4 linked regions of the Macaca fascicularis genome follow. The protein of the gene in region 1 interacts with the protein of each later gene in a pairwise test. Links are inferred from orthologs where the notes say so. Each region holds a gene or a part of one and is shown in the gene's direction. Other genes may lie near its edges.

Region 1 (4,200 bases):
GATGGGACATCATGCATGCATGAAATTAATGTCTCTGGGTGGGGTGCGGTGGCTCACGCTATAATCCCAGCACTGCGGGAGGCTGAGGCGGGCGGATCACCTGAGCTCAGGAGTTCGAGACCAGCCTGGCCAATGTGGTGAGACCCCATTTCTACTAAAAATACAAAAAAATTAGCCAGGTGTGGTGGTGGGCGCCTGTAATCCCAGCTACTTGGGAGACAAGGTAGGAGAATCGCTTGAACCCAAGAGGTGGAGGTTGCAGTGAGCTAAGATCGCACTACTGCACTCCAGCCTGGGCAACTGGGTGAGACTCTGTTTCAAAACAAAACAACAAAACAGTGTCTCTGAAGATAACGTAATAAGAAAAATACATGATAGGCCGGGTGTGGAGGCTTACACCTGTAATCCCAGCACTTTGGGAGGATCGCTTGAGCCTAGGAGTTTGAGCCCAGCCTGGGCAACTTAACTTAGTGAGACCCTGTCTCTGTAGAAAGAAAAATACATGATAGATTTTTGTTAGAAAGCAGGATATAACATTTATACAGTCTGGTTACCACAAGGCTAAAAATACTAGAAGGCAAAATACAACATTTTCAGAGGTTATGATTCAATGAGGTAACTGAGTATTTTTTAAATTTGTATTTTAAATTAAAAATTCAAAGTTTTATTTAGTAGTACAAGAGTTTAAGAAGTTGCCACCTGTTTGCTGGGCAGCAGGAACTCTTGCCTGCCTAACCAGTGTATCATGCTGTGGTCCCAAGTGATGGCTGTGGCTTTACTCTTCTTTCCATCCCCACTAGGCTGCGCTGAACATCTTAAAGTTGCTGTCTGAGTTGGACCAACAAAGTACAGAGATGCCAAGAACAGGAAACGGACCAATGTCTGTGTGAGTGCACTGATGAAGGGGAGGCACTGATGATGGGGAGGCTGCCCCTCGTTTGTGTTGAGTTCACACCATCTGCTGACTCAGCGGGGAAATATTTGCCTGAGTTACTTTCTGGCCCTTTTGCCTGAAAGGTTTCCAAATTCTCTGGGCAGAGAGCTCTACTTTTAAAAAACATTTTGAGGCTGGGCACAGTGGCTCACGCCTGTAATCCCAGCACTTTGGGAGGCCGAGGTGGGTGGATCATGAGGTGTCAGGAGTTCAAGACCAGCCTGGCCAAGATGGTGAAACCCTGTCTCTACTAAAAATACAAAAATTAGCTGGGTGTGGTGGCAAATACCTGTAATCCCAGCTACTCGGGAGGCTGAGGCAGAGAACTACTTAAAACCTGGGAGGTGGAGGTTGCAGTGAGCCAAAATAGCACCACTGCACTCCAGCCTAGGCGACAGAGCAAGACTCTTTGTCTCAACAACAAAAAAAACCTTTTTACCTTTTTGAGTCGGTCATACCTTCACATGGTCAGAGCTCTCTTTTATTTTACAAGGTACAATCTTCTCCTCAGACAGCCCCCATCCCATCCCTCCTATTCTTCCCACTGCCTCCCCCATAGATCACATTTTTACTAGTTTCTCCTGTATCTTTCCTGTATGTTTCTTTATGCAAATATAGACATATATTTCTTCCCTCATTTTTTTCCTTTCCCCCCGCAGAGATAGCAAATACACACACTCTCCTTGCTTATTTTATTTACTGGCATATCCTGGGAAAACTTTTGTTATCATAAACTGGGGCTTTTAGTATTGTATATTGTACTTCCTGATGCTTGCCAATTTCTTTTCATTTTTAATAGTACTTTAATTCTCTTACATTTCAAAACTAGCATCATTTTCATTTTTCTTCCTTAAAGGTGTGGGAGGTGCTGAACCTTTTCTGGCCATGAACCATTAAAAAATCCCAACATATATACTGAAAATACTGAAACTGCTTTGAAAATTTGGAATTTCTGATACCTCCAGTGGGCCGAGAGACACGGTGGGTAAAGGATGTGGGCAGCAGCAGGGAAGACAACAGACACGAGGCGGCGGCTGTGGCCGGGCTGGACTGTGCTGGGGTTGTGACGGCCACTCGGTGACCTGGTGGTCCCTATGCAATAGCAGCTGCCTGTGGGGAAGAAGGGCTGCCCAGCCAGCTGGTTCTCCCGGGACACCAGCAGATCCACACCCTGGGCACCTCCGTGTTTGGTCTTTTTTTCCCCCTGTGTGAAAGAAGAAACAGCATGACCCTTTCTCAGGCTGGCTCACTCAGACACATTGGGACAAACCCTGGACAGCCATGCCAGAGAGAGGCCTTTGACCGGCCCCAGAGCTAAAAGCACCAGAGAAAATCAAATGCTTCCTACTCAGCGTGACCCAACTTTTCTAGCGTGCTATGGCCCCACCACCTCCTGCAGTACCCACACCATCACCACTGCTTTATCTTCCAACAGTGATCTGTATTCTTAGTTTCATTATTTTCTTTTGATTGATATGACACTATATAAAATTTTCATTTGAGAGTTTCTCAATTGTATCTAGTTATATAGCACAGTTTGGAAACTTGTCTGAGACTGACTTTATCAATAATCTAACCGACAAAGATCATATCCATGTGTATGTGGTTAGATATTTTTATTTAATTGACTAACCCAGGACAATTTCAGTGATGCAAATTGTGTGCCCTCTGGTTCTGCTGAAACAGTCCTGGACTTTCAAAAACCTTGAATAAGTCTCCCACAGTTGTATAAATTGGACAATTTAGGAATTTTAAACTTTAGATGATCATTTGGTTCCATTTTTATTTCTTTTTTATTTTTGTTAATGCAAACAGGACTTAAATGAACTTTGATCTCTGTTTTAAAGATTATTAAAAAAAATTGTGTATCTATACATACAGCTCTTGAGGACTTAGCTTTCACTACACTACAGGATATGATCTCCATGTAGTCCATATAAACCTGCAGACTGATTTTCCAGAGTGCTCGATACTGTTAATTACATCTCCATTAGGGCTGAAAAGAATGACCTACATTTCTCTATACAGCTGTGTTGCTTTTGATGTTGTGTTATTGTACACAGAAGTGTGTGCACTGAGGCTCTGCGTGTGGTCCATATGGAAAGCCTGGTAGCCCTGCGAGTTAAGTACTGCTTCCATTCATTGTTTACGCTGGAATTTTTCTCCCCATGGAATGTAAGTAAAACTTAGTGTTTGTCACCAATAAATGGTAATACTAAATTTTTTTTGTTAATTTATTCTCAAATGCCACTACTGCTAGGTTGGTCCCCTCCCAACTTGCCCCTATCCTTTTTTTATTTTTAAGAAAAAACTTTGTAATGCTTGTGATTCCATCTGGGCAAAAATCTGAAGATCTGAAATAACTTTATATCAAACCATTGATCAATAAACAGCTACTAATGAAGTGTTTGGTCCTGTTGAGCAGTAACTAAAATAAGGGAAGATGTGAGTAAGGGGATGGAAGCTCGTCGTGGGGGACCAGGGCCAGCCCCTGCGGGAACCGTTGCTGCCTCTCAGGCATGTTGGGTACCTGGATGTAGGGACTTGTGCCCCGTCCAGACCTGACATTGCTACCCAAAGAAATGACCCCAAGGATCTGAGGGGAGACTGCCGGACACTTCCCAGGGCACCCTCATCTCTCACCATACTGAGTACTGAGGAGGACATGCGTTCCAGCCTGGTTGAGGGGTGGGCTAGTTGGTTTTCGTTTCTTAATTTTAGAAGAAGTGGAAGAAGATTGTAAAGGTTTCACTATAAATCCAGCCGATGAGTGTACTGCCAGAATAATTGAAAGTGATCAGAAGGTTATGGAAAACGCTAAGGGCAGAAGGAAATGCAACATTTTGAGGATAAAAGCAATGAAAGGAGAAAAAGTGTCTTTACATCTTTAGAAACAACAAAAAAAGGATTCATGGACCTGTGACTCACATCACAACCCTCCCCCAGACTGAAGGTTCTTCGAGCAGCTGAGCCTGGGGCCCTGACTTGATGCACTTTCGCAGGGAGTGTACGTGGTGGCAGCGACACTGGAAGCCGACCAGTGTGATCTTTTGTGTCTCTGACTTGTTTATAAAAACTCACTCCATTGAAGAAGGGGTGGCCTGAGGCAACTTTGGTAACACACTCAAATTAATTGAGCATTAAGTTTAAAATATTACAGTAAAAAAATTATAGTTCAAAAACAGTAAGTTTTTCTTTAATTTTTATTTTTTGAGACAGAGTCTGGCTCTTGTCGCTCAGGCTGGAGTGCAGTGGTGAGATCTCGA
Region 2 (4,957 bases), about 41 Mb from region 1:
ATCACAACCATGCAGTTGAGGAGCAATGATTTGAACCCAGGCTTGTCTGTTCATTCAGACAGTATTTATTGAGCCCTTGCTATGGGTCAGGCACAACTCTATATGCTGGAGACACAAACCTAAAAGGACCCTAACCTAAAAGGCAGACCCCACAAACCTACAAGGCAGAACAGCTGCCTCTCAAGGCTAAAGTCTCGCATTTTTAAAAGGCCTTGGAGCTTCATTAACGTTCTTCTAACGTCCTAATGTTCTTCTAACCAGCTTTTCTAGGTATGAATTGACCCTGTGACACCAGGATGGTTCTTTGTCAGCCTCTTTGTCTATGAAATCAGAAATAATGGTACCTCCCCCAATAAGTTATGTGAAAGAAATGAAAGGGACTTATTATATATGAAACAAAAGCAGCACAACATCCAAACTACTGAGCGTGCAGTAGATCAACTCTCATTCCCACTTCCATTCCATCCATGCCGATTTAGATCAATCCAAGTATCACTGCCTTGGGGTTCATAAAGTCATTTCAGTTCATAAAGCACCGCAAATGCTCCTTCACCCTCTCTGCTCAGCCTCCAACTTGTCCTTTTAATAATCCAAACTCTCCACCTACTTAACTGAAGTGTGTGCGTGGGGTGGGGGGGAGGGAGCGGGGGGGGGGAGGGGTGGCCTATACTAAACAGCCCAACTGTTTTCAATGTGTCCTGAAATCTGAGACCAAGATTCTCTTAGGAATGCAAGCAAAGGGAGCCGATGGGACGCCAAGAAAGCACAGGTTAAACTACTTCACTTCATCTAGCCCCAGTTCTCTCCTGGCTTTGCAATTAATTTTTCAGCCTCAGACCAGCAGATGGAGCTGAAAATGTTGTCTAAAGAAATGAGGTTTTTCTTTTAATTTACAAGCTACAGTTTCTCAAACCTCCACACTGAATGGTTATATCCTGTTGAGCCTGTTGGTAAAGTTCAGTAAAAATCCAGTCCTCATTCCAGAACAGCTGAAACTTAGCTAGGGACGCGGAATAACAGAATCCCAACTCCTGACGGGCCCGCGTTTCCCGGGACACCTCAGGCCTCAGGGCAGTGGGAAGCCGCCGTCAAGCCCCCGCCTCACCCACGTCCTACCCTCGCCCCAGTCTCCTCCCACTCTTAGCTACATTTCCCATGTGACTAAAACTGGCTTTCTCTGTGTCCACCAGGACATCGCCTCTAAGTGGCTTAAGCTCCTAAGGAGCGCGATCGGCTCAGGCACTCCGCCACGCGCATGCCACAGGGCGCGGCCGGCCTTGCCCTCGCTGTGGCCTCAAGCACCGCGGCGCCTCACATGTTGCCATACGGAAGGCCTCGGCTGGGTCAGGCAGCTGCTGCTGGCCGTGACTGCATCAAGTAGTGACGTTTCACGAGCCTTTTAACTGAAATCACTCCAATACAAGGGCATGCGGGACTAGGTGAAAGCACTTCACCCAACCCCACACAACGTCCCCTCCCTCTCCAGCCAAGCGGCCTCCTCGCAGCGGAAAGAACAGCGAGGATCTAGGGGCGGGACCTGAGAGGTTTGGCCCAATCAGGGATCCCACCTAACCAGACGGGCCGGGGTCTGTGACCCTGTTGGACCAATAAAAACTCGACGGCGGATTTGCCGGGGTTTCTGGGAAGGTGACACTCCCGGAAGCTACCACCTCTTATAAGCCACACACGGGCGGAGATAGCCTTCCGGCTCGCAGTCCCACTGGCTAACCTCGCTGCCCGTCACGGGAATGCGAGAGGGGGCGGGGCCGGAGCGCTCGCGTCTGCGCGGAGTCCGGCTAGCAGCGCGCGGGAAGCCGCGGAACTGCGCCGGAAAGTCCCCAGGCTGTGGGGCCCCGGTGACCCAGAGTAAGCCTCCAAGAAGGAAGAGGAGGGAAGAAAGGCGGCTCTTCCCGTGCCCCTACCCGAGGCCTCGGTGGGCCCACCCTGTGACCTCCGCGGCCGGCCCCTCGGTGGAGCTGCGGCCCGCGCGGGGGGCATCCCGACCGTGGGCGCAGCGGCCCGCGCTGACCCTGGACGTCGCCGCGCAGGTAGGTTGCAGTCCCCCCGGCGGTCTGACCCCGGAGACAGCCTCTCGTGCATACCCCACGCCCTCCTCCATTGTCGGGAATAAGACACGGCTGTACCTTTGTCCACGTGGTAGAGTTGCCTCTCTACTGTGCAAAACGCGTGGCAGCGAATTCTCTTCAATGAGGAGAGGCGCGTCCCCTCGCAGAGCAGCTCTCGGGTCTGAGGAGGGCAGGGCAGGGCGTGCGTCTGTCTAGGTTTGAATTAAAGGCGACTCGCAGGAAATGCCACTGTGGTAGCTTCTCCCGTCCAGCTCTGGACACTCGACGGTGCGGGCCGTGGGAGGAGGCGGCGATCTTCACAGCCTCTTACTCCAGTCCTCAAGGTCTGGTTCTTTTTCTGATTTGACGCAGCGGGGCTGACAGCCCCATAGGTAACTGAGAACCAAAAGTGGAGATGGTCCTTCTATGGAGTGTGGGGGCGTGGCCAATTGTTAGATTGTGTTTGGAAGGACAGCCAGGGGCGGGGAAGAGGGGCATTTCTGAGATGATGGGGGGACTGGTGCCATGGAGGGAAGAGGAGTGAGGTGGAGATCGGGAATTCCAGCCAAAGAGAAATGGGGTCCCTGGGAGAAAATTCCCACTCCGGCAGTCCTGGAGTTGTCCTCATGGAGACTTGCTTACGCGAGTAAAAGGACAGCATCGTCTTGACAAAATTTCAGCCCTCAGTCTAGTCTTGTAAATGATAGATCAGGAATGCTCTTAACCGTCATTACCTTGATCCAGCCCTAGGTTTCCCTTTTCTCATTTGTAAAATTGTTATAGTAATACCTTTTTCATTCATTTGTGGTGACATTTAAATGAGGTAATATATGTGAAGCTCTTAGCAAACACAGCGCTGCTTCTTCGTGGGTTCCGCGTGGGGTGGATTCAACCAACCTCAAATCAAAAATACTCTTCAGAAAAAGAAAAATGCCTTTGTACTGAACATGTAGAGGCTTTTTTTTCTTGTCATTATTTCCTAAACTATACAGTATAACAACTATTTACATCCCTTCTACATTGTATTAGGTGTTATAAGTTACCTACAGGTGATTAAGGTACATAGGAGGATGCTGCGCATACGTTGTATCAAACAGTACACCGTTCTATCAGGGACTTCAGCATCAGCAGGTGTTGGTATCCTCGGGGGTCCTGAATACAGTTCCTCACAGATACCGAAGGACCGCTGTACTTAGTTCAGAGTACAGTTGAGGCTTCACTTTGAGGTCTGTGGAGGGCGTGGAAAGACCCAGGTCTGAAATTGGCTCTTAACTGCTCATTTTTAGGACAGCTTCCCTCCCAGCCAGCCCTTTACCAGAGGCAATGCACCACCTTTGCAGCCGTTAAAAGAACCTGGCTCTTTCCAGCCCTATGTGGAATGTTTTATCGCTTTCATAAGCTAATCATTTAAAAAAAAGGTCTTTTTTTGAAATGAAAAAAAAAAAAATCACTATTTAAGTTTGTAAGTATAAACTATTTTAGTAATGTCCTCTATTTTAGTAATCCAGTATTTTAGTAATGTCTTCTATTTTAAGTGAAATATTTTAATTATGGAGAAAATAACGTAACAGTTGTACCTGTACCCTGAAAAAAGTAAATGTCAATTTTTTTTTATGCTTTTTACTTTTTTATTGGGGGGACAGTGTGACATTTCAGCTATAGTACACATTCTGTGCCCACACACCCAAGAACTTTGAAATTTAACATGTCTTTCTGTGGAGGCACTGTGGCTCCACAGGACTGATGTGGTGGATATTAGTACCTATGTAAGCTGGGTGTCCTCCCTTCTAATCCCCACTCACCCAAGAGATTTGCTGCTTCCAGTTTACCATGGGGATTATGGCTGCCATTTTGGTTCTGTCCTCATGTCATTTGTGTTTCTACCCTCTTAAGAAACCTGCCTTCTCTGCCCTCCTGGTTCCTCTTGAGTGAGCTCCATGATAGACTTTCCCAGACTCAGCAGCTGACGAGCATTTCGTTGGTTTGGTTGGCCTTTATTGAGCCAGTGACCACTCTTCCCTTCTAAATGGTCCACTGTCTTTACCAAGGGGCAGTCATGTCTGTTGCAAGCATTCAGGAAAGAGTGGCCTTCCATAGTCAAATGTACTCTATTTTATAAAGTGTGATTTAAAAAATTAATGGTCCAGTCAGCCCTCCTCATCCTCTGGGAATTGATTCCAGCAGTCCCCCTACCCCTGCAACAGACCAAATCTGCTGATGCTCCAAGTTCTTGATATAAAATGGCGTTAAGGCCAGGCACGGTGGCTCATGACTGTAATCCCAGCACTTTGGGAGGCTGAGGCGGGCAGATCACCTGAGGTCAGGAATTTGAGACCAGACTGGCCAACATAGCGAAACCCTGTCTTTACTAAAAATACAAAAATTAGCCAAGCGTGGCGGTGGGCACCTGTAGTCCCAGCTACTTGGGAGGCTGAGGCAAGAGAATCCCTTGAACCTCGGAGGTGGGGGATTGCAGTGAGCCGAGATCATGCCACTGCACTCCAGCCTGGGTGACAGAGTGAGACTCAGTCTCAAAAACAAAAACAAAATGGCATAGCACAGTCAGCCCAATATATTTGCAGGTTTCGCCCTGAGGTTGCTTGAATCTGTGGATGCAAAACCCTCAGATATGGAGTGCTGACTATAACTAAATGTTTTTAACTAAACACAATGTATACTGTCTCAGTTTGCCACAGTGGTAATCCCATCTTAACAATGAGCAAACTGAGGCTTGGTAAAATTAGACATTTAGGTGTTGGGTACTATTTGAGCCTACAGTCATTGTTCTGCAGTCTGTAACTATTTTGCCAGTAGTAGAAAAGGAGGAATGTTCCATTGTCAGGGCAGAATGAACTTTGGCATTCACATGGGTTCTCTTCAACCTTACTTCC
Region 3 (4,243 bases), on another chromosome or scaffold:
TCTGCCTGATGAACTGTCTGAGAGAAAAAAAATATATGATGAAGAAACTGCTGAACTCTCACAGTAAGTTTCTTCTCATAAAAAAAAAATTATGAACTACTACCCTTTAATAGTAAGGGAAAACCTCACCGCAAGCTGGATCCTGTCTGTAGTTCATCTCAGTCTAGTCAAGAAGTACTGGTCAGTTTCTGTGGTCCTCAACAGACAGAATTTTATAAAAGTTCACTTGGTAACATCCGGATGTTTTACAGGGAGTGGTTGACTCAGCTCTGTGGGCTGAAGCAGTATTTTAGGCGGAGGAGGAATTTCCTACAGTGCCATCAGGCAGTGGAATGGGAAATAGAGAGGGGGCGCCAGTGACAGTGACATTGGTGGTGATGGCAGCTCTCATGTGTCATAGTAGGGCGAGAGGAAGGTCTAGGGTCAGTAACCTAGATTGGCAGGGGATTTTCTGTCACATGGAGGCCCGGAAGGGGCTTTCCAAACTTTGAGATCTGAGATTGAAATTGGAAGAGAGGTGTTCAGGGCCAAATCCTCCCTTAATGAAGATACTGACTGGGAGCACAACTGAGTTGGTGTCGGGAGGGTGAAAATCTCAGAGGTAACTTTGGGATTTGGTAATTCAGACCACTCCGCAGAGAACACAGCAGCTGATGGAGCTGGGTAGGCAGGGCAAGGCATTGCTCGTTGTCTCTTTTCTGTTTTTCTTTCCCATTTTTCTCCCTTTCTTTTCCCTAAATGTCTTTCCCTCTGACCAGTCACTTGGGTCTCTTTAAATTTTATTCATGGGTTTTAAATTTCTTTATTTCTTTTACTCTCTTTTAATTGAACACACTAAAAAGCAAAATTATAATTTTTGTATGCTGTTTTATTTATTTAACAACTTTTTGTTTCCATTACTTTTCAAAATATAAATTGAACATTTTATATGTCACTTTCTAACAAAAGCTGTGCTTGTAGACTCTCCTTTTTCAACATGTGTCCATCAGATGTCTTCAGTGAGCCAGGGGCCCTCCGTAGAAGAAAGATTGCCACTCTTTTCTTTATAGAAATAGATATTGATTTGTCTTCTTACAGAATTGGTATTTTATTGTGTGATTTACAAAATACTCTGATGTGACAATCATGAACCTTTCTGATCAATGCTGAAGCATCTAGATTTAAGAAAGCTGCAGTTTTACTTTTGAAAATTTAAACACAGTGACACAACCAGCCCGCCCACAGAGGAGTGGTAGACTCAAAGGACAGAGGAGGGAGTCACACACAGAGAGCTGCGTGTTGGAGAGAAGAGAAGCGTCAGGGTGTCCAGCTGCTTACTAATGGGGCTGTTTTTTAAAATACATATTTTACACATGTTTCATCTTATGTGTATATAAGTAATTGATGGTCATTTTGAAAAAAACTCAAAAATACAAATGAGCATTTTAAAAAAAGCCATAATCTGCAACCCAAAGGGAATCAACTATTGGCATTTTGACATACGTATTTCCAAACTTGAATGCAGTATGTATAAACAGGCTTTACACAAAGGTGGGATCATGTTATTCATGATCTATATCTAAAACCTGTTCCTCTCATTGATAGAAGCATTTCTTCTAATTCAGTTCATACACATCATCTTTTAATGGAAACATAGTATTCTGTTTTACCGATGTACCATAATTGATCTTACTAGTCTCCTCTTTATGCTTCTACATTTTGGTTACTACCTACATTGCTACAGTGAACATTCATGTAGCACTTGTCCACTCATGTCTGAAAATAAGCTGGTTGGTTCCAAGAACATGAACATTTCCTGCCAACAACATAAGGTTTCTGCTGTCTGTAGCCATGTTCTTTAGTGTGCCTGTGCTGTTTCAGACTGCCCCCATGCTGCCAGTTTTCCCATATCTAAGACAGGACTGGGCATTGCCTTTATCCTTCTCTTTCTTTCTACCACTCTGGCAATGAAAAATGTTATATCATTTTAATTACTTGGAAAAAATGTTATCTCATCAGAATATGTTTTCTGATCTTGCGTTTGAAAATACTTTAATGCCTAAGAATTTTTAATTATTTGCTTTTTGTCTGTTGTGGGAGTTCACTTTTTCTTACTGTTATCTAAGAGTAACTATAAGTGTTTGGATAAAAGATATTTATTGTCATATGTTATAAATATTTAAACAGATTTTAATATAAAATATTATAATAAATTGATTCATAAAGATACTTAGCTCTGTAAGATAATCTGGTGTCTTAAAATTCAATTTACTCTTATAAGTAAGAGGATCACAGCAGATTTTTAGTATTAATATTTCATCAGTGTGAGCTTAATGAACGGGGTGCTGATTCTTGTTCTTGCCAAGAATAAAAACCACCTTATTTAGAACTTATTCTTTTTTTGTTTTACATTAGTTCATTACTGTTATAAACCTCACTCATTTTTTGTGTGTGTTTGGTAATATTTTTCTTGTATGAACTCAATAATTAAACTGTTTTTCCCTCAGCTTGACCAAGAATGTTCCAATATTTGTTTGCACTATGGCCTACCCCACTGTGCCTTGCCCTCTCCATGTATTTGAGCCAAGATATAGATTGATGATTCGAAGAAGTATACAGACTGGAACCAAACAGTTTGGCATGTGTGTCAGTGATACACAAAATAGGTATGCTTTTTGTGAACTAAAATATTTGTATTTATGTTAGACCTGTCAATATGGATGAGAACTTGCATGTTTATGTTTCCACTTTGTTACTAATCAAGGTTTTCTTTTAGTTTTGCAGATTATGGTTGTATGTTACAAATTAGAAATGTGCATTTCTTACCTGATGGAAGGTCTGTGGTTGATACAGTTGGAGGAAAGCGGTTTAGGGTTTTAAAAAGAGGAATGAAAGATGGATATTGCACTGCCGACATTGAATATCTGGAAGATGTTAAGGTATTTTAAAATGTGCTTTGCCAGCATACTTTAGTGTATCCTGTTCCAGGGATTGGTACAGGCATGCAGGCTATTTTCTAGGCGCATGAACCAGTTCTTCTTATCAGAGAGCCTTACCACTGTTGAGAATGCGCTCCAAGTTACCTTTTTCGTATCTTGCTCTGCAATTGTTGCACATTCTGAGAGAACTTGGAAGACTAGAACATAGATTCTCTTTATTTCTACAGGCTTAACAACCAGCCCAGTGCCCTAGAATGTATGTGTATATGTACACATGTGCATGTGTGTATACACATGATAGGTACTTAATAGTGGTTAAGTTGAACTTCCAGCCCATCTAAGTTTTGAAAGGTTTACATTTCTGCCCTGTTTTATTGAATGTATTAGTAGTTGAAGCTGATGGAATTAGTAGATTGAAACTTCATGTAAATGTAAACACATCAAGTCTTGTAGGAATTGTTTTATATACTCAGATTGTTCTTGTGCCTAAGATAACCTTAATGATAAAATAGAGTTGAATGCTGTGTGAAGACCCTGGGGCAGACATAGAAAGCACTGTCAGTGTACATGTTGGTGATATCTTAGCAGGGTAGCGGTTTTGTGATGTCTTTCTAGAATAGGGTTAATGTGGCCCTTTTGATGTTTGCAATACCCAGTTTACCTACTGCAGTTAGTTTAGGAACCAGAAAAATGACTTGTGATGCTATAAATACCAAATTGAAGGCAATTTCTTTTGGAAAGGCATTATAAAAACAGATCTTATCCCGTCACTTGTTCATTGATCTGTTTAGGCCCTTCATTTCAGTTAACATTTATTGGATATTGGCATTAGGTATTTTCACAAACATTAACTCATAGAATTTTCACAACTCTATGAAATAGTAGATGAGGAAAGTATAATTCAGAGGTGTTAATTTGCCTAAGATCCTATAATGTAACAAAAATGATTAAAGCAAACTCTCTGACTCAGGCTCTGAGCTTTAGCATTATGCCATTTGGCTCTCTGCTGATAAACCTGATTAGTCTGACGTTGGCTGTCCTATCTTATTATAAAAATGCATTGGGGTACTTTGCCCTGTGCAGTTGGCCAAAAGTATTGTGTAAGTTGAAATTTTGAGTTGATTGGTATAATCTGTGCCAACCTTAAGCATACTTAATTAATGGAATCACTTGCTAAAGGTTCTCCTTTGTAAAGTTAATAACCCTATTTCAGTTTCATGTAAAGTTATGTCTTCACATATTGGATTTGATGACAAAATCACTTGAGTATATGGCTAAATTACATGACTATATGTATTAATACTTATAAACATGTAGGCAATGGA
Region 4 (4,868 bases), on another chromosome or scaffold:
CTGCAGGCGTGCACCACCATGCCCAGCTAATTTTTGTATTTTTTTGTTGAGATGAGGTTTCGCCGTGTTGCCCAGGCTGGACGCAAGAGACCATCCCACCTCAGCCTCCCAAAGTGCTGGAATTACAGGCCTAAGCCGCCACAGCAGGCCCACCTCCAGTTCTGAGGTTACTGGCATGTAAAGCACCCAACTCAGGGTTCCAACAAGAATTAAGGTTAATTTATCGTCTGCTCCTTTGAGACAGAGTCTCACACTGTCACCTCGGCTAGGGGGTGCAATGGGCCTTGGCCCACTGCAACCTCCGCCTCCCAGGTTCAAGTGATTCTCCTGCCTCAGCCTCCCCAATAGCTGAGATTACAGGCGGCTGCCATCATGCCCAGCTAACTTTTTGTATTTTTAGAGAGATGGGGTTTCACCATGTTGGCCAGGCTGGTCTTGAACTCCTGACCTCAAACGATCCTCCCACCTCAGCCTCCCAAAGCGCTGGAATTACAGGCGTGAGCCACTGCACCCAGCCATGTCTGCTCATATAGTAATTCTTTTTACGTGCACACCCTGCAATATTACTGTGCTACTCAAAAGCTAATTATGGGGCCAGGCTTGTTGGCTCACGCCTGTAACCCCCCCAGGACTTTGGGAGGTCGAGGCCAGTGGATCACTTGAGGTTAGGAGTTCAAGACCAGCCGGGCCAATATGGCGAAACCCCACCTCTGCTAAACACACAAAAACCAGGCGCAGTGGCGCGCGCCTGCAATCCCAGCTACTCCAGAGGCTGAGGCAGGAGAACCCCTTGAACCTGGGAAGCGAATGTTGCAGTGAGCCAAAGTCGCGCCACTGCACTCCAGCTTAGGCGACAAAGCAAAACTCTGTCTCAAAAAAAATAAATAAATAAAAGCTAATTATGGGACTTGTAAGAAAATATTAATTTATCATGCCCCAAGGACCAAAGTGCGCTGGAAGTTCAGCCGTAGCTGTCTTTGAGTGTGGTCAGCCGCCTGGGGGCCACGGAGACCCACGAAAAAGGGGGTCGTACGTGAATGCGAGGTCCAGGTCTTGCACCAGTCTGTTCATATCTCTTGAGCCTCAGTTTCCTTTCCTGCACTTCGAGCAGTTAACCCTCAGTGCCTAGCAGCCGGTTATTAATATGTTCACAACACCCTCCACCCAGGGCAGGGGTGGGAACGGCTGTTCTGCTTTTGAAAGAGAAAAACAACTTCCACAGTTCTTCCGGCCCCACATCCTCTGAACCGGGCTGGGCGCCTCCTCTGGGGCGTAACCAGTTGGACGCGCCCCCGACAGACCCCGCCCCCAGCCCGCCGCCAAGGCCCCGCCCCCCGGGCCGCGGCGCTTCACGTCCAGCGGGGGCGCTAGAGCGCGGGGGACCGGGCGGGGCGGGCCCGGGAGGCCCGGAGGCGGGGCCGCGGGCCGGGGGCGGACTGGGGCGGGCGGAAGGAGAGCCAGGCCGGAAGGAGGCTGCCGGAGGGCGGGAGGCAGGAGCGGGCCCGGAGCTGCTGGGCTGGAGCGGCGGCGCCGCCATGTCCGATAGCGAGAAGCTCAACCTTGACTCGATCATCGGGCGCCTGCTAGAAGGTTGGTCGCGGCGGGGGAGGCCTGCGTCCGCCGCTCCCGGGCCCCCTGCCGGGCCCGGAAGTGGCGCGCGGGCGGGCCCCCGGGGCCAGCTTAGACTGGGCGGGGACGGGCCGCGAGGTTCGGTGGCCGCAGCCGCCCCCCCGCGGACGCGCCTGAGAGGTCCTGGGCCCGCTCCGACGCGCGGAGCAGCCCCCTCTCCCGGGCCGGGGGCGCACGGGTTGCCTGGGTTCTTGAGGCGAGGGAGAAACCCGGGAAGCCCGGTCCAGGAAGGGGTCCTGCGCTGTGAGGTGTTTGGGTGGCAGCCCCCTGCGCACGACAGTCGCCTCCCGAGGCGCTGAGGGTAGTTGGGGGCTTCCCTTGGGAGGCTTGAGGCCGAGGTCCCGGGAGGCTCAGCAGCAACAGCTGCCTGCGGGCAAGGAGCAGCCGAGGAGGCCTAGGCGCCCCCGGAGGTATCCATGGGGCCACCCGTGTCGCCCACCCTCCTCCTGTCAGGGTCCCGGGTCTTGACACCCCATTGCGCCCCCAGTGCAGGGCTCGCGGCCTGGCAAGAATGTACAGCTGACAGAGAACGAGATCCGCGGCCTGTGCCTGAAATCCCGGGAGATTTTCCTGAGCCAGCCCATTCTTCTGGAGCTGGAGGCACCCCTCAAGATCTGCGGTGAGCCCCCCGACCCAGGTCCCCTTGCTTTCCTGAAAGTGGCACTGGCCCCCACAGAGTTCCTGGAGTCCTCCTCCCTTGAGCCCAGTCCTGGTCCTGGGTTCAGGTCTAGACCCTGCATCTAGCTTACCCGATTCCCTGGGTCACAGGTGATATACACGGCCAGTACTATGACCTTCTGCGACTATTTGAGTATGGCGGTTTCCCTCCGGAGAGCAACTACCTCTTTCTGGGGGACTATGTGGACAGGGGCAAGCAGTCCTTGGAGACCATCTGCCTGCTGCTGGCCTATAAGATCAAGTACCCCGAGAACTTCTTCCTGCTCCGTGGGAACCACGAGTGCGCCAGCATCAACCGCATCTACGGTTTCTACGATGAGTGTGAGTGGTCTGAGCGTCTGGGGCTGCCCGGGTCCTGAACCACACTCCTTGTCATTCAGTGGGACCTTCACATTGGCCTGATATCTGACAGACACTTGCTAAGACTGTGCACTCCACGAAGGCAGGGCCCAGGTCCGTTCTTGTGCCTGCCCTGCCCCTCCTGGCATGGGGTCTGGGGAATGGTTGCTGACTGAAGGACTGTCCGTATTCTAGTGCTTTCCCCCAGGGCCCTGCCTGGTGACGTTCCCTCTACATTTGCTACTAAGCATTTAGGATGTTTGCAGATGAGCTCTGCTGTCCAGAAGCTGAGATAAACCAGACCTGTACTTGGCCCGGCTCGTGGGCCGGGGCGTGCAAGGAGTGCCAACCCTGAGGCTGGTCCAGATTGGAACTCAGTTTCCAGTGGACTCGGGTGCTTTAGAATTACTTCTGGTGGGAGGCTGAGGCGGGAAGATCACTTGGACTCAGAAGCTCCAAGTTACAGTGAGCTATGATCTTGCCAATGCACTCCAGCCTGGGTGACTGAACAAGACCCTGTTTCTTTACTTTTTTGAGACGGAGTTTCGCTCTTGTTGCCCAGGCTGGAGTGCAGTGGTGTGATCTCAGTTCACCACAACCTCCATCTCCCGGGTTCAAGCGATTCTCCTGCCTCAGCCTCCCGAGTAGCTGGGATTACAGGCATGCGACACCACGCCTGGCTAATTTTTTTGTATTTTAGTAGAGACAGGGTTTCTCCATGTTGGTCAGGCTGGTCTTGAACTTCTGACCTCAGGTGATCTGCCTGCTTCAGCCTCCCAAAGTGCTGGGATTACAGGTGTGAGCCACCATGCCCTGCCCAGATCCTGTTTGTTTAAATTACAAATTAAAATAAAAAGTAACTAGAATTACTCCTGGAAGGCTGACAGGCGGCAGGGGTGGGGGTGGTTTGCATTGGTGCCTGACTCTCTCCCATCTGCGGCTGAATAGCCCAGAGACCCCGGCTAAGGGTGGAGCAGGCAGACCCCTCACAGCTACCTCCCTCTGGGCAGGCAAGAGACGCTACAACATCAAACTGTGGAAAACGTTCACTGACTGCTTCAACTGCCTGCCCATTGCGGCCATAGTGGACGAAAAGATCTTTTGCTGCCACGGAGGTGAGCTCTCCTTAGTTGTCATCTGGGAAGTCACTCCTTTCAGGAAGTGTCTCCCATACCCCCCTGTGCTGGGCTGCACTCACTTCCTTGATGTGCATTCTACATGGGGCGGGCTTGTCTCCTTTCTCCCAGGAGCTCTGTGCTCCGGAGGCCAGGGGCGCCTTTGTGCCTGTTTGGGAACTTGAAAAAGCTGAGGGGAAGGGGATGGCTTCTGCCTGCCTGGGCACCCAGGAGACCAGTGGAGGGACCAGGAGGGTGGTGGAAAAGTGAGGCTCACTGGCCAAGGCTTCCTGGAGGAAGGATGTCCTTGTTTGAGGAAGTGACCTTCCTTCTGGCCCTCCAGGCCTCTCCCCGGACCTGCAGTCCATGGAGCAGATTCGGCGGATCATGCGGCCCACAGACGTGCCTGACCAGGGCCTGCTGTGTGACCTGCTCTGGTCTGACCCTGACAAGGACGTGCAGGGCTGGGGCGAGAACGACCGTGGCGTCTCTTTTACTTTTGGAGCCGAGGTGGTGGCCAAGTTCCTCCACAAGCACGACTTGGACCTCATCTGCCGAGCACACCAGGTGGGCTGGTGGCTCCCGTCTGTGGTGGGGGAAGGGGAGGGCCTTGCCTGCACTTGGGACTGACTGCTCCGATCCTCACCCAGGTGGTAGAAGATGGCTATGAGTTCTTTGCCAAGCGGCAGCTGGTGACACTTTTCTCAGCTCCCAACTACTGTGGCGAGTTTGACAATGCTGGCGCCATGATGAGCGTGGACGAGACCCTCATGTGCTCCTTCCAGGTGAGTGTGGGGAAGAAAGGAGCTACTAGGCCCCGTGGCTCAGCCCCATGAGCCTGACCAACCCTGTCTCTTTTAGATCCTCAAGCCCGCCGACAAGAACAAGGGGAAGTACGGGCAGTTCAGTGGCCTGAACCCTGGGGGCCGGCCCATCACCCCACCCCGCAATTCCGCCAAAGCCAAGAAATAGCCCCTGCACCCCGCGCCTGTGCCCCAGATGATGGATGGATTGTACAGAAATCATGCTGCCATGCTGGGGGGGGGTCACCCCGGCCCCTCAGGCCCACCTGTCACGGGGAACATGGAGCCTTGGTGTATTTTTCTT

What was found.
Region 2: the proteins of STAU1 (region 1) and NXT1 interact in binary tests that used the Homo sapiens proteins (3 or more experiments, as listed by UniProt). The two-hybrid records come from large-scale screens. The link is inferred for Macaca fascicularis from reciprocal best matches to the Homo sapiens genes STAU1 and NXT1.
Region 3: the proteins of STAU1 (region 1) and LONRF1 interact in binary tests that used the Homo sapiens proteins (3 or more experiments, as listed by UniProt). The two-hybrid records come from large-scale screens. The link is inferred for Macaca fascicularis from reciprocal best matches to the Homo sapiens genes STAU1 and LONRF1.
Region 4: the proteins of STAU1 (region 1) and PPP1CA interact in a two-hybrid assay, tested with the Homo sapiens proteins (2 studies listed by BioGRID and IntAct). The link is inferred for Macaca fascicularis from reciprocal best matches to the Homo sapiens genes STAU1 and PPP1CA.

What each region holds. Positions count from the first base shown.
Region 1 is NC_088384.1:105,175,549-105,179,748, reverse strand, and holds the end of STAU1 (double-stranded RNA-binding protein Staufen homolog 1), read left to right. Parts: intron 1-800; coding exon 801-886; intron 887-1,790; coding exon 1,791-1,806; 3' UTR 1,807-3,338; downstream 3,339-4,200. UniProt on the Homo sapiens protein: Binds double-stranded RNA (regardless of the sequence) and tubulin.
Region 2 is NC_088384.1:63,954,784-63,959,740, reverse strand, and holds the start of NXT1 (NTF2-related export protein 1), read left to right. Parts: upstream 1-1,787; 5' UTR 1,788-2,048; intron 2,049-4,957.
Region 3 is NC_088382.1:12,660,658-12,664,900, reverse strand, and holds part of LONRF1 (LON peptidase N-terminal domain and RING finger protein 1), read left to right. Parts: coding exon 1-63; intron 64-2,486; coding exon 2,487-2,645; intron 2,646-2,755; coding exon 2,756-2,918; intron 2,919-4,243.
Region 4 is NC_088388.1:6,974,441-6,979,308, forward strand, and holds the start of PPP1CA (serine/threonine-protein phosphatase PP1-alpha catalytic subunit), read left to right. Parts: upstream 1-1,459; 5' UTR 1,460-1,535; coding exon 1,536-1,590; intron 1,591-2,116; coding exon 2,117-2,248; intron 2,249-2,397; coding exon 2,398-2,628; intron 2,629-3,656; coding exon 3,657-3,761; intron 3,762-4,104; coding exon 4,105-4,328; intron 4,329-4,411; coding exon 4,412-4,546; intron 4,547-4,622; coding exon 4,623-4,733; 3' UTR 4,734-4,868. UniProt on the Homo sapiens protein: Protein phosphatase that associates with over 200 regulatory proteins to form highly specific holoenzymes which dephosphorylate hundreds of biological targets.